Linked DNA regions of Caenorhabditis elegans. The protein of the gene in region 1 purifies or fractionates together with the protein of each later gene. This does not show direct contact. Each region holds a gene or a part of one and is shown on either strand. Other genes may lie near its edges.

Region 1 (6,304 bases):
TGAGATGGGAAACTTTGGAGCCAGAATTCTTTCGAAAGCACTACAAGTTAATGTATCTCTTCGATCTGTGTCCATTGACAATAATCATATTGGTGCTGATGGTTTTGTCGATTTGGCAACGTCTATCAAGATGAACCACACATTAACTCATTTCCCTTATCCTGTTCATGATGCATTTGACTGTATGCAGCGTGTAGAACGACCGAGGACAGTGGCAGCATTATCACAGATTCAAAACTGCTTGTATCGGAATAGAACAGCTCTCGGAGCCGACGAAGCCAATTGCAAGAAAATGTTCGCAGAGGGAGTGCTACAGAAAATGGAGAAAGCGAATGATGAGGTTGTTGGAAGCATTGTTGACTCAATTTCAGCTTTTGGACAAGAACCATTTCCACCAAAAATGATTGAAATCATTGAAGAATTCGTTGGAAAGTTTCAAATGGAAGGCGGTCGGATCATTTCTGAGAGCATTTCAAGAACAATCGGAGGTGATTTAAGTGCAACATCGCGTCGTGCAGAGCAACTTGCAACAGCTAGACTTGCTGAAGTTTGCACAGAACAAGTGAAACATGTGTTTAGTGAATGGAAATGGAGGGAAATGTGCGAACACGTGGAATCTGAACTGTCCAAAATGTCAATTGGAGGATCTGGTGATGCATGCAGCCTTGGAAGAACGTCATCTGTGGGGACAGGATCACCTGCAATGTCATCTCCATTCACTCCGAAACGTTCTCAGGCAGGACATCGTCCGAGAAGTATAATTGGAGATCTGACATCATCGACAACATCTTCCGAAACAGTTGGAGATTCTACGGAGCAAGGAGTCAATTTAGATTTGCCACCAAAGCCTTCAGTCCTATCACATCTACAAAAGGCAAGACCAAGGAAAAGAGGAGGAGCTTCATCTATTCTAAATTCATCCCTTTCTGAAGACGTGATGATGACAAGTAAATCAAGTGGAGGACCAGAGAATGGAGATTTGGCTGATCTAATTGAAGAAGTTGATGAAGTTGAACAAGAACCAAGAAAAGTTCCAACTGGTGTTCGTGTTGCTATGATACCAGATAGTTCCCTCATTTCACAAGTGCATCTTCGTCCTTCAGCTGAACGTACTCTTTCTGCTTCTTCTGACTTCTCACTGTCTCCACGTGAAGCTTCTTCTCCAACAACAAGTAACAGTAAGATCATGACGTCATCAAGTGCTTCGGATTCTCCACCACCTTTGCCTCAACGTAATAGGTGCGTAATATATGTAAAAACAACATTTATACTGTTTTGAAATTTCAAAATTATGGTTAATTATAATATTTAATTTGTATTCAGAGTTGGACCTGGCGGTGCTCCACCCCCATTACTTCCTCCTAAACCAGAACCTCGAAGTCGTTTGATTGGAATGACGTCTCCAACTACACCTCCACCTACAGCAGATGATGATGAAAATGCAAATAGTCGTCGCTCTGTGGCTGATATGGCTAGAATTTTCCAAAAATAATCGAGATTTTAGCTCTACCCAACGATGTAATTTATCTCTTCCCTGTGACTAATTTTTATTTCACGGATATTTTGGTGGTCACAAATTTATTCAATTAGATATTTTTCTTATTTGAGGAAAATATTTTTAGCTGTTCTCGATTCTTCCTCTAATTTTTAATCTCATCAATTGTTACTGTATTTTTCAATTTCTGTGTTTGTCCCATTTCTCCTGTATTTTAACAGCTTTACTAGAATTTTTTTGGCATACTTCTTTTTTTCACCATTTATGTTCCATATATATGTTAATGTATTCATTGCGAGTATTCTTATGGTTTCTCCTCCTCTTCCAGCATTTCTGATTTCCATGTCTCTTTCTTATCGGAACTGTTCACTTCTTTGTTATATGCAAAACGTGGTTTCTGTATTTCTTGACTTCTAAATTGTTCAAAATGAAAGATTTGAAGAATATACTTTCCAAAAATTTTAATGCAATCCATCAAAATAGTGCGAAAAGTCTTTCACTGTATTTTTAAATATTTGGAAACCCCAGAGCTATTACGAGAATTAACTGTCTACTAAAGAAAGAATGAGCTCAAAATCTGAGCAACACGAATAAAAATTTAATTTCTTTGCGGAACAAAGAAAAAAGGGGCGCGACCAAAGAATTCTTTCAAAATGAGCCTGATGAATGAAGTGAAAATTGAAGCAGGCAATGAATTGGCCAATGAGAAAAGAAATGGTGAAGAAGCAGATGCAAGTGGGAAATTGAAATTGAGTAATGGAAAGAAAAACTGTCGATTTAAAAGAAATTTAGAAATTAAATGAGTAATTCTGTATTTTAGATAAAAGCTTCTGGAAAAATCAAATATTACTGTCGATTGACAATATTTCGTTTTTTTTTTAATTGTGTTTTTATATCAAGTTCATTAAATCATCAGCTAAATTGAAAAAGTCTTGTCGAAACGAAATGGACGGCCACTGTTTTACTTTCTTTCTCTGCGTCTGCATCTCACTCAACTTTTCAATCTCATGGGGGTTTTTCATTTTTTCTGCAAACTTCTTCTTTCAATTAATAAACTTTATTCAGAATGCCTATTTAATTCGAATCTTTGTTATGAATAAGATGCTTTCAAGGAATCAAAATGTGATCCGCGTCGCGGTGAGAATATATTTTTAATATTTTATTTCTTTTAAAGAGCATCGTTTAACATTTCAGGCTCGATCACACTTTTCCGCAGATCCAGCTCGATCACCACAAACCGAGATAATTCTACTTCATGCTGGTCAGCCATGGAACGAATTTCATGCCAAGGAATTTCTTAAAAATCAATCCGCGCAATCGATGAGACTTCGAATGCCAAATTTCGTACACACGTTAGTCAATCATCCACTTAAAAATCTGAAACTTGTATTTCAGACTAATCGCCAACGGCAAACTGAAAAATGAGAATTTGAAAGGATGCATTGCTGCTTATAAAAATGTTCCGAGCTTAGAGTCGCAGGTTGATAGACTAGGCAAGAAGATTGAAGAATCATTGGACACTGTAGTACCAGAGCATGGTCCATTCAAAGTATCCCGTTTGTTTCAATTTGACGAAGTATCATTTGAGGATCAACTAAAAGAGATTAAATCGTAAATTTATTGAAAATGCTTATTTTGGTAATAAACATCGAAACTTTCAGACATCGATCCCAGCATTACATCTTCATGCCACTCTACCCACACTTCTCTGCAATAGATAGTGAAACTCTTCTCGTCAAATCCGCTAAAATTATTGAACAGACTTCATGTGAGTTTTTTTTTTTAATACTTTCTATATATTCTACTTAATTTAGCTCCATTGGTCCAGGGAAACAAAAATATCACAAGCAGTAGAATTGAACAAAATTCGGATTATTCCTATGATGTATCTGCAATTTGGCGATGGAATAATCATCCAATTCTGGCAGATGTAAGAATTGCACGAAATTGTCTTCATGTTAATTCAAATATTTTAGTATTGGTCGTCGAAAATCAAGGAAGTCCTTCCGAAATTGGATGGTGTTGTTTTCGCAGCTCCTCGAAAGTTTACCTGCAATTACGGACCAGTTTTTGCGTCTTGTGAACGAACCATGAATCAGCTTGGTGATCTGATTCCATGGCGACTTGGATTCTATTCCTCTTGGGATTCATTCGATCTTCCATCTATGCAGGGTGTTGCCTCTCAAGTGCAGAAAATTAGGAAAACATCAGAATCTGGAAAAGTGGCCGTTGTACCAATTACAGATGTTATCGAAACTTTCAACACACTTTATACATTACCAAAAAAGGTTGAACACTTGGTAAGTTTTAATTTAACAAATTCCAAATGGAAAATTGTCAGAAACAATACACATCTATATATAGACGTTTTGTGTTTAAAAAAATCAACAATTTTTTTCTCGGCAAAACCCTTTAAGATTAAAAAAAATACTACTTAGACGTCTAAAAATGAACATTTTCATCGGGTTACTGTAACTCGTATCGCTTTATTGGCCGCTATTGTATCTTAAAAAAAAAAAGAAATACTGCCAAGCTTTTTTGAATAAATTTACGATACAAAAGCGATGAACACGAGTTTCTGTAACTCGATGTGTGCGTGGCGAGACCATCCGCGTAAAATAAGGCAAAAATTATCGTCTTTAGACGTCTACGTAATATGAAAAATTATGTTTTTAAAATGCAATATCAACTTTTTTTTAAATAGAAAAACGCACTAGTCCTTCGACCCGATTATGAATCCGATCATCTGACACATGGAATATCGGAGATCGTCAAAAATCTATTGCTCGGACGGAAGGATCAACAATTGGAAGTGGCCTGCTCAACGAGACAGTTGCAGAATCTCAACATATTTTTGCATTGAATCTTTCGAAACGATTAAACGTGTGTAAAATTATTATTTCTAGAGAAATTGCCACATTACCAATAGTTTAGGTTCTTATAGACCAAAATGAAATTGTTTTTATTTAAATTATGTTTCCTATCCATAACAAATTAAAGTTCAAAGTATACTGTAAATAATATATGACATCATTGAAATCCTACACTGAAATTACCATACGTATGGCAGTTCTGATTCGAAACATACACAATCCTAAATACCCTCCTTCACATCTACTGACGCGTAGTGTGTCTCTTCTCTGCTCTTCTAACACCCTCCACCGCCTTAACAACTGACTCGACATGTGTCTACGTCACCATACTATTTCGTCGTCCGTCTCTTTTCTTGGCGGTCTCTGTGATGAGTGGGGCTCTCTCATAGGCGACGGCTGTTTCGGCCCGATGGCGGCCATTCTCCCATTCTCTGCATACCACTCTAACTAGACCAGTGCCGGCCAGTAGTTGACCATTCAGGCCGAAATCTTGTCAATTGTTATCTAATGGGTGTCCCAATGTGTTCCCAAGTATTAATTGTTCTTATTTCCTGCGACCCATGAGTTTTGAAGCTGTAGTACTGTCATTTTCCAATTCAATTGAAGATCACATCGAGTAGATCTTGAAATGTTATTCACATTTCTTCAACTATCTGAAATAACTATACATTTCTTGTTTTAGAGACTAACAAATCATAATCCTTTTGCAAAAAGACAATATTTGTCAAATCTCTATTTATGACATTTGGGAAAATCTGTGAAAAATTTTCCAAAAGCCGGCTTTTGGGGTACTCGAGTATCCTTGAAAAGATGTACCAATCATTTAAACTGTCAACTGCTGATAAAGTTTGCGCTCGGTTCAAGTTTGCACGTTCGCAAAAAATTCAGTGCTCCCTGCAACAACCTTGATCTCTCCTCTCTCCCATATTTCCATTCCCACTGCTGCAGTCTCTTCTCTGTTTCCCGCGTCAATTATCACTGTGAGATCCCGAAGAGAGCTTTGCCGGGAAGAGTGCTGCTTCCGTTTGAGCAAATACTCCCTGCTTGGGCGCGAGCCGTTCCAACTAAAAAAACGGAACAAGGACACGGGCGGCGCACGCGCCCCGCGTGTGCCATGTTGAATATACATTTTAATAATGGAGAATTTTAAATTGAATAATATTCTTATGCCCATTGGCGCCAAATTTATGTAACTACACGTTTATCTCTTAACTTCGCAAGTCAAATATTTCGTTTTTATATGCCCATTTGCAACTGGCAAATGCATGATTAGGTCAGAGAACGTTCTGATAAGGGAACTTCGATTTCGCCTACTCGTTCAATATTGTGTTCACTGGACTGGAACGTTCAAGGCGAGAACATGAAGAAAATTGTGTGCGGGAATAGGTTTCGAGACTACCCAAAGACTTTTTAGTGCACTCCAAACTCAATAAATTGTTGCGAATCGCTCTTGGTCCTTCCGTTTGTGCTTTTTCTTATTTTTTTGTCCTTGAAATTTTAAAGAATCTTACATGTTAATGTTTTTAAAAAGGCAAATTATTGAGAGCTGTGCTGCATTTGAAATGTTAATTGCATGGAAATTGATTTTCAAACTACAACTTGAAAAATAATCCTATTTCATAAATTCAACCTTTTTTATTTAACATTAGAACAAAAAACACTGAGAAACTTTGATTTAGGCAATGTTGGGCACGTCTTAAAGATTTAAAACGTTTTCTTTGTTATTTTCGTTGCAAGTCGAGCGGTAGCTCATTTCCACAAAATTTGCATCTCCCAACAATGGTGCGCCTCTTCGATAGAGCGCATTTCAATTCTCTTAATTTAAAACAAAAAAAAATTTCCAATTAATTTTCATCATTTTTTAAAAATTAGTTCGCTTGAAAGCTGTTCAAACAAATTTGGTTTGCAACAAAACTCGTCTTCTCGTATCATCATT
Region 2 (10,020 bases), on another chromosome or scaffold:
GAAAATCTGTTGTTACTTAAATTCCAAATTTCAACCCAAACAGGTTTTAAACCAAATTCCTCATTTCTAGACGATAGGAATGGGAGGGGGATTCAATTCAATTTTCTTGTAGTCTAGCTCACGCCAGGCTAGAAAAAGATCAGATTTTGAAACAGGAATTCAGTTCCTTCTAGGTTTTTTGTGTAGTTTGTAGTCTAGAAAGTCTCGCTCAAAAATTGGGTTTTTACAAAACACATTGATTAATAAAAAAACCAAAACCTTTTTTTTCAAAAAAAATTTTCAAAATTTTTTCCTACCAATCTCTTCAATCTCTGCTTTTCCCACTAAAAAACCCAGAGTTTTTTTGTAGTTTGTAGTCTGACCAAGTTTTATGTTAATTAGACCAACTTGTTCAGATTGTTGCATATATATCTTTCCTCCCTTTTCCCATTGTCCTCCCCACATTCCTCCTGCAGCTAGAAGGCAGGCTATTCCATAAGAAATAGGACACATTCCCATTCCATTTAGCGTAATCCATTCATGAAATCTGCCACATTACTTGCAGAATACCATTATAACGGTTTTTTTTTATTTTAAATCGTTTAAGAATTTGGGTGTAGTTTGTAGGCTTTTATCAGAAATTTCAAAAAAAAAAATTTTCAAAAAAAATTTTTGTTTGGACTATAATTTTTTTCGGAACTTCTAAAAAAAACTGCATATTTATTTAAATTTGGCAATAATCACTTGAAAGGTAACTTGAAAATTTTAAATTTTTACGAAATTGGTTAATAATTAACCGAGTTATGGTAGCTTGAACTGTGGTAGTTGAATTTTTTTTTTGAAAAAGTCGGAACAAAAAATATATTCAATCCTAAGCTTTTGATATGATAATTTTATGAAGTTAAAAATTATCAAATGAAGCTTAAAACTCGCTCAGTTACGTTACTTTAAACTAACTAAAGGTTTGACCCAAAAAAATTTTTCTAAAAAAAATTCAAGCCTAATCGTAAGCCTAAGGTAAAGCCTGAGCCTAAGCCTAAGCCTGAGCCTAACTGTAAGCCTAAGCCTTAGCTTAAGCCAAAGCCTAAGACTAAGCCTAAACCTAAGCCTAAGCGTAAACCTAAGCCTAAGCTTAAGACTAAGCCTAAGCCTAAGCCTAAGCCTAAGACTAAGCCTAAGCCTATACCTAAACCTAGCCCAAAGCTTAAGCCTATGACTAAGCTTAAGCCAAAGCCTACGCTAAAGCTTAAATCTAAGCCTAAGCCTAAGCCTCTAATCAGCGCCTATTTGCAAGGCCACCAAGCGTAAAACCGTTACGCGCCTCTGATTTCTAGGGTCTAACGGTTTTAGGGTATACAAATAGTTCAAATAATTGTACCAAAGTCCAATTGAACACTGTATCATCTTTTTCAACTATTTTTCCATGTGAATCAGTAAAAAAGTACAAATGATCGGACACTCTGCGTCTCTCATCTCTCCACAATCGCACCATATCATTAGTGTCTATTCTCAGGATTCTCTGTATCTTTTAGTGGTCAGAACACTACTCCAAGGACACTTTATTATATTATTAAGTACTTGAACAATGATCTGATTCATTTTGTTTTTTGGGAAGGTTTTTTTTTTGAAAAAATAGAATTTTTGAAAATTTTCCAAATTTTTTTTCCAACTGAGATTTTTCAAATTCGCGTAACTTTTCGAGTTTTGGATCAATTTTTTAGATTTTTAAATTTTTGAAATAAGCATAAAAACAGCTTCCAATTGAATATAGTTGTAAAAAATTTTAAGCAATTTTTTTCGATTTTTTCAAAAAGTTTTTCTGAGTGAGACTTTTCAAACTTACGTAACTTTTTGAATTTTGTGCCGAATTTTTAGATTTTTATAGTTTTGAAATGAGCATGAAAAGAGCTTTCAACAGAACACATTTGTAAAAAACTTTGATCAAAAAATAAAATTTTTTTCGATTTTCAAAAAGTTTGAATTTTTTACAAATTTTTTTCCAACTGAAATTTTTCAAATTTACATAACTTTTTGAGTTTTAGTCCAAATTTTTTATAAAATATGTTTTTGAAATCAGTATAAAATTTGCTTTCAGATAAATATATTTATGTGAGAAAATTTTGAAATTTGAAATTTTTTTTTACAAAATTGTCGTATAATGCTCCAAATTTTGTGTTATGTATATTTTCAAAACTAGTGTAAAATTGAACTTCGAAATAAATATAATACTGCCACGTTTTTGAAAAAAAAAATTTCTTTATTTTTAAATTTTTTTTTGAATTTTTTCCCCTCAAAAATGTTCAAACTACCGTAGTTCTAAGAAATTTGGGTCAAATTTTTAATAAAAATTTATTATTTTTTATTTCTGAATTCAATTTAAAACTGATTCAAGATAAATGTATTTTTGACGATATTTTTGAAAAAAAATTTTAGTCCAAAAAAATCCAAAAAATTTTTTTTCCAAATTTTTTTTTTTGAGATTTTTGGTTTTGTTTTCTAAAAACTTGTTACCCCAAGACATATAACCTTTATCTAACAATCCATTAAAATGTATTTCTTCTACCCAATTACCTCCTCTTACCATTTCCCTCATTGTAACTGTCTTGTCAAACATGTGAGGATGACCTCAACATTCCGGTTTTGATTTTGGTATACCTTTTTTTGGAATCTAATTTAAAACTTGTTTTGTCTTTTTTAGTTTTGTTCAATTGAAAATTTCGAAAATAACTTTTTTTCGATTTTTCTCCACATTTTCAACTTTTTAGGGCTTTTTTGCTCTTGCTCTTTTTGAATGATAATAGTACCGTCAGCATTTATTTCACCAATTTTTGTGGAAATTTTAGACTTATCTATTTTTCTTGTAGGAAAAAGTTTTAGTCCACAAAAAATTTTTTTTTCGAAATTTTTTTTTTCGAAAATTATCAGATTTTACAGTAAATTTGTGTTTTTACTTCTAATTTTGTTTCAATTTTGATAATATTTTCTATTAATATACGTTTGAATTTTTTTTTGGAAGTATTGTCGATTTTTTAAATTTTTTTCGAAAAAAAATTTTTGGTCGAATTTTTTTTTCAATTTTTCTCAAAATTGTTTTACTAATATTAGAAAAATTTTTTTTACCAATTCAACTTATTCCGGACATTTCTCAATGTATAAAAATTAGATGTTTTTTTTTTGAAAAAATATTCGGCAAAATTAAAAAAAAAAATTTTAATTTCAAAAAATTTCAAATAATTAATTTTTTTTCCAGATTATTGATTTTTCACTTTTTTTCTTGGTTTTACACTTGTTCTGTTTTTCTGTTGTACTCCTTTACCCTTAAATACCAAAATGAAATTCCAGAAACATGGGTATAATAACCGCCTCCCTGATAGTCCTAACTATCACCTGGATAATCCATTTCGCATTCCGGAAAGCAAAATTCATTTACAACAAGCTTACGGTCTTCCAAGGACCCGCCGCACTTCCACTTATCGGAAATTTCCATCAATTTCACTTTTCACCAGAGGAATTTTTCGAGCAATCTCAGGGAATCGCCTATATGATGAGAAAAGGAGACGAGAGAATTACAAGGGTCTGGCTTGGAGGACTACCTTTTGTGCTGCTTTATGGAGCACATGAGGTTGAAGCTATCCTTGGGTCCCCTAAAATGTTGAACAAACCTTTTTTGTACGGGTTTTTGAGTGCTTGGATTGGAGATGGGCTGCTAATCTCGTAAGTTTGAAGGTTTTTTTTGTGATCAGAGTAGATTTGAAATAATGCTACCAAAAAATACACAAAATTTTAGACATACTGGCTTTTAGATGGCCAAAAAATATCGAAAACTGACAAAGTTATACATAAAAATGTGGAAAAACTAGGTTGCAATCTTATTTCAGCGGTTTGGAACCCGAAAAATCTGAAATTTCAGCTAGAAAAACATATATCAGCCGCCCGGGGGTCGAACCCCGGGCCTACTACCCCATAAGCAAGTCTCTTACCCACTGCGCCACCCCTTGCACACTACTGGGCGCGCAGTGTAGCGCGCTCACTTGCAGCATGGCGCAGTAGGTAAAAGGCTCGCCAATGGAAAAATAGGTCACGGGTTCGAACCCCTGATGGGGTATTTATGTTTTTCTAGGTGAGAAATTCGAATTTTTGGGTTTTAAGTTGTGAAAATTTTTCTGGAAACTGGTTTTACTTAAAATCACTCATAACTTTGCCTATTTTTGACATTTTCGGACAATTTTTTGATTGAAACAGGTATGGAAACTTCTTCTTTTGAAAATTTGACACCAAAAAAACTCCAGAACAATAGTAACCTCAGAACTTTCCGTCAAAAGACCCAACAATTTTCCTTTTATTAATTTTTACTAAACTTCAAGCTATCATAACTTATTAATTTTTGAGATTTTCAACAATTTTGAAATTTAATATGTGAAACAAACATTTTTTTAAAAAATTTATACAAAGAATTCAAACTATAACACACTCTGTGGAAAAACTGGTTTCCAAGCTTATTTCAGCGGTTTGAAACCCAAAAAATCAAAAATTTCAGATAGAAAAACCTATATACCACAACGGGGGTTGAACCCGACCTGTTTCCTTATAGGCGAGCCTCTTACCCACTGCGCCACCCCTTCCTCTCCCCGAGGGCGCCATGCGGCGCGCTCCCTTGCGGCATGGCGCAGTAGGTAAGAGGTTTGCCTTTGGGGAAATAGGTCACGGGTTCGAACCCCTGGTGGGTATATATGTTTTTCTAGGTGAGAAATTCGTATTTTTGGGTTTCAAATCGAATTTAAGTCATTTTTTCGGAAAATTTCAAAAAAAAAATTCCAGAAAACCAGACAAATGGCGTCCCCGTCGTAAACTGTTAACTCCAACCTTCCACTACGACATTCTGAAAGATTTTGTAGAAGTCTACAACAGGCACGGAAGGACCCTACTCTCAAAATTCGAAGCTCAAGCTGGAACTGGAGAATATTCAGATGTATTCCATACTATAACTCTGTGCACATTAGATGTTATATGTGAAGCTGCCTTAGGAACATCTATAAATGCACAAAAAGATCCACATTCCCCATATTTGGATGCGGTTTTCAAAATGAAGGATATCGTATTCCAGAGGTTACTCCGCCCACACTACTTTTCGGATACTATTTTCAATTTGATCGGGCCTGGAAAAGAACATGATGAGTGTGTGAAGGTGATTTTAATCATAAAATTGTTTAGAAATGTCAAAAATGGACAAAAACTATGAATGATTGGAAGTAAAACCAGTTTCCAGTTAAATTTTCATAATTTAAAACCCGAAAATTTGAATTCCCCGCCTAGAAAAAGCTATATACCCCAGCGGGGGGTCGAACCCGTGACCTATTTTTCCAAAGGCGAACCTCTTACCTACTGCGCCATGCTGCAAGGGAGCACGCCAAAAGGCGCCCCCGAGGAGTGGGAGTGGTGGCGCAGTGGGTAAGAGGTTCGCCTATGGGGAAATAGGTCCTGGGTTCGACCCCGGGCAGGCTTAAATAGGTTTTTCTATCTGAAATTTCAGATTTTTTGGGTTTCATACCGCTAATACAAGCTTGGAAACTAACTTTTCCAATTTTTTTTTTCAAAAATGTTTTCCAGATTCTCCACGAATTCACCTCAAAAGCCATATACGCACGTAAAGCTAAGGTAGATGCTGCTGGAGGTGTAGAGCAACTTTTGGCTCAGGAAACAGCTGAAGGACGAAGGCGGATGGCTTTCCTAGATCTCATGTTGGATATGAATTCGAAGGGAGAACTTCCGATGGAAGGGATTTGTGAAGAAGTTGATACTTTTACATTTGAAGGTCAGTTTTTTTAAAATTTTTATTGGAAAATCTGAAAAATTTGGCCCAAAAATCATACTTCGTAAAATTTTTACAGTTTTGCATTGGAGCGCGTTTACCACATTTAAAAACTTGTTTTTCAAAAATTGAATATTGTCAAATTAAAGGTGACATATTTTTCTTCCAGACGCATTTTGAAATTTTGAAAAAAATATTTGAAATTAGCTAAAATGTGATAATTTGGAAAAAGTTGGCAAATTTTTAATTTTTTGAAATTTTTGAAAAAAAAACCAATAATTTTGAAACTACAGTATCTCAGCTTATTTTCAATATTTTTTGATGCTCTAAAAACTAAAATGCAGCTGATAATAGGTCCAATTTAAAATTTTACAAATTTCAAATAAAAAAATTTGTCTAAAAAGTAAATGCGCTCTAATCATAATTTGCCAAAACTTTTCAAGAATTGTCTTTGGAGCGCATTTACTACGTTCAAAAATTAGCAAATAAAAGCGTTGTTGTGTTTAAATTGTAGATCATCTATTTTTCTATATGCCACAGTTTGAAAATTTGAAAAATTAAAAATTTGACAAAAATACGACAGTTTCAAAAATTATGGTAAAAATCAATTTTTGTAAAATTTTAGAAAAATCAATAATTTTGAGACTACAGTATCTCAGCTAGTTTTTAATATTTTTTGATGTTCTAAAAACAGAAATGCGGTTAACTATGTGTTCATAATTTGACCATTAACAAAATTTAATTAAAATATCTTTTCAGTGACGTAAATGCGCTCTATTAATAATTTACCAAAATTTTCCAAAATTTGTCTTTAGAGCGCAATTACTACTTTTGAAAACTAGCATATTAATACGTATATTATTATAAATTGTAGATGTAATATGTTTCTACACGCTACAACTTAAAAATTTAAAAAATTTATAATATTGGCAAAAACACGGCAGTTTCAAAAACCATGGTAGAAATCAATTTTTGAGAAATTTTCGAAAAAATCAATAGATTGGAAACTACCGTATCTCGGCGAATTTTCAATATTTTTTGATGCTCTAAAAACCAAAATGCAGAAAACTATGTGCTCAAAATATAAAATGAAACCAATTTTCAATAAAATAACCTTTCAATGACGTAAATGGGCTCTAATGATAATTTACCAAAACCTTCCAAAAAGTTGTCTTTAGAGCGCATTTACTACCCTTAAAATTTGCAAATAAAAGCATATTTTATTTTAAATTGTAGATGTTATATTTTTCTATATGCTACAACTTGAAAATTTGAAAAATTTCAAAAATTTTAAAAAATACGACAGTTTCAAAAATCATGATAAAATCCAAGTTTGAAAAATTTTCGAAAAAATTAATAATTTTGAAACTATAGTATCTCGGCTAATTTTCAATATTTTTTGATTTTCTAAAAATTGAAGTAGAGCTGAATATGTGCTCATAATTTAAAAATTAGCAAATTTCAAACATAATAATTTTTCAATAACGTAAATGCGCTCTAATGGCAATTTTTAAAAAATTAAAAATTTTTTGAGTTTCTAAAATTTTAAAGTTTTGTAATTTTTTCCAGGCCACGACACAACATCAGCCGCAATGAATTGGTTCCTCCACTTAATGGGAGCAAATCCAGAAATCCAATCAAAAGTTCAAAAAGAAATCGACGAAGTTTTGGGAGAAGCCGATCGGCCAGTCAGCTACGAGGATTTGGGAAAACTGAAATATTTGGAAGCCTGTTTCAAAGAAACTCTGAGATTATATCCATCAGTACCATTAATTGCAAGACAATGTGTTGAAGATATTCAAGTACGTGGACATACACTTCCATCTGGAACTGCTGTTGTTATGGTACCATCAATGGTACATAAGGACCCTAGATATTGGGATGATCCGGAGATTTTCAATCCGGAAAGATTTATTACGGGAGAGCTGAAACATCCATATGCTTATATTCCATTTAGTGCGGGATCCAGAAATTGTATTGGTGAGTTTTTAAAAAATTAAAAAAAAAATTTTTTTTTTTTTTTGAAATTTATTTTTTGAAAATCTTCAGAATTTCTCAAATTCCAACAATTTTCAGCAGTTTTAATGTCAATTTTCAAATTTCTTACGCAAATTCCATTGATTTAACACCCATATTGCCTATTTTTGGTGAAATTCCATGTTTGCCCATCTTTTGCCGGTCTGTTGCCGGAAATATCGGCTTTTCTCAAATTTCAGCTAATATAGACAATATGGGGGTTAAATTAACGGAAATAACATGAAAAATTTAGAATTAGATGCTGAAACCGATAATTTTTGACAAAAAAATTTTTTTTTTGATTTTTTTTTTCAAAATTTTAAAAATTCAAGAAATGCACCAAAACTAGATTTTTGGTATTTTTCACATTTTTTTACACACGGTTTCCGTCAATGTAACACTAATATAGCCTACATTTTTTTTAAACTTATTTTTTTGGAAATTTTTACCAAATTTTGCCGGTTTTTTCCATGGCCGATATGGGGCTCAAATTATTTAGATCTTTTGTAAATGTGCAATACTGGAGCAGAAAATGCTCAAAAATCAAGTTTTAGTATTTTTTGAATTTTTAGGAATATTGGAAAAAAATTCCAAAAAATTGTTTTTTTTTTCAAAAATTTTCAAAATTCAAAATTTCAAAAACTATCGATTTTTAGCGTCTAAAATTGAAGATTCTTCATTTTCCATGTAATTTCTGTTTATTTAACACTCATATTCCCTATACAATTTTGAGAAAAAACGATTTTTTCGGCAAGAGACCGGCAAGAGACCGGCAAGTGATGAGCAGTAATGAAATTTCACCAAATATAGGCAGTATGGCGGTCAAAATGACGGAAATCGTGTCTCAAATTCAAATTTCGTATAGTTTTAGTTCATTTTTGAATTTTTAGAAAAATTAGAAAAAATTCAAAAATTGTCTTTTTTTCAAAAATTTTCAAAAGTCGAAATTTCAAAAATTATTGATTTTTAGCATCACATTTTGAATTTTTCTTGTAATTTCTGTTAATTTGACTCCGAAATTGTCTATGTGCTGTAAATTTGAGAAAAATCAATAATTCCGGAAAAAATGGCAAAATTTTTTTTATCAAAAAAAATTTTCCCAAAAAAATCAATAAATTTTAATTTCAGGAATGAGATTTGCAATGATGGAGGAAAAGTGTATTCTAGCAATAATCCTAAAAAATCTGAAAGTCAAGGCAAAGCTGAGGACGGATGAAATGAGAGTTGCAGCTGAGCTCATTATTCGACCACTTTATGGAAATGAGCTGAAATTCGAGAAACGAGAATTTGGAGATTATACATCCATTTATTAATTTTGAGATTATTGATTTTTTGAAAATTTGAAAAAAAAAATTCCTAAAAGAAATGTTTTTTTTTGAATTTTTTTTCAGAATTTTGAATTTTTTTTTAAAGATTTGCTCATTTTTTTGAAATGTTTCATTTTATTATTTTTTTTCTTATAATCAAAAAATATTTATGGCAAGGATCTCGGTTTTTTTTTAATTTGTGATATTCAAAATATTATTTTTTTCCTGTACTCAAGATATATATCTAACATAAAATATAATGCAATTGAATAAATATTTCATATTCAAATAGTTGACTGTTAGTTTTGTAAATAAAAAAGTAAAACAAACATTTTTTTTTGAAATTTTGAAAAAAAATTCAAAATTTTTTCAAAATTCAAAACTGCAATAACTATTGATTTTTAGCATCTAAGGTTACAGGTTCTGCATTTTTCATGTGATTTCCGTTAATTTGAACCCCATATTGCCTATATCTGGTTAAATTGGAAAAAAAATCGACATATTCGGCAACAGTCCGGCAAGTGATGGGCAGCAATGAACTTCAACCGAATGTATGCAATTAATGAGGGGGGGGGGGGGAGGGGTGTCAAAATAACGAAAATTTTATGAAAAAACCCAAATTTTGTAAGAAAAATGCCCAAAAACAAGTTTAAGTGAATTTTTAAAACTTTTAAAATTTAAAAAAAAAATTCCAAAAAAAAAAAAATTTGTTTCAAAAATTTTCAAAATTCAAAACTTTAAAAGTTATCGATTTTCAGCTTCTAAGGTTATAGATCTTGCATTTTTCATGTTATTTCCGTTAATTTTTAGTGAAATTTGATAAAAATCGATATTTCCGGCAACTGACTGGCAAAAAATGGTCAACAATAAAATTTTATCAAATTTATGCAATGAGGGAAATTTTTTTTG

What was found. The genes of interacting proteins can lie anywhere in the genome.
Region 2: the proteins of fecl-1 (region 1) and cyp-42A1 fractionate together in Caenorhabditis elegans (co-fractionation; one large-scale study listed by BioGRID). This does not show direct contact.

The regions. Positions count from the first base shown.
Region 1 is NC_003279.8:7,148,099-7,154,402, reverse strand, and holds fecl-1 (FErroChelatase-Like), read left to right. Parts: upstream 1-2,558; 5' UTR 2,559-2,587; coding exon 2,588-2,632; intron 2,633-2,689; coding exon 2,690-2,847; intron 2,848-2,890; coding exon 2,891-3,106; intron 3,107-3,156; coding exon 3,157-3,263; intron 3,264-3,309; coding exon 3,310-3,425; intron 3,426-3,471; coding exon 3,472-3,795; intron 3,796-4,199; coding exon 4,200-4,358; 3' UTR 4,359-4,463; downstream 4,464-6,304. Other genes in the region: crml-1 (CARMIL pleckstrin homology domain-containing protein), read left to right, coding at 1-1,239, 1,324-1,492.
Region 2 is NC_003283.11:18,908,717-18,918,736, forward strand, and holds cyp-42A1 (Cytochrome P450 4V2), read left to right. Parts: upstream 1-3,319; 5' UTR 3,320-3,325; coding exon 3,326-3,693; intron 3,694-4,797; coding exon 4,798-5,164; intron 5,165-5,586; coding exon 5,587-5,791; intron 5,792-7,357; coding exon 7,358-7,768; intron 7,769-8,932; coding exon 8,933-9,117; 3' UTR 9,118-9,401; downstream 9,402-10,020.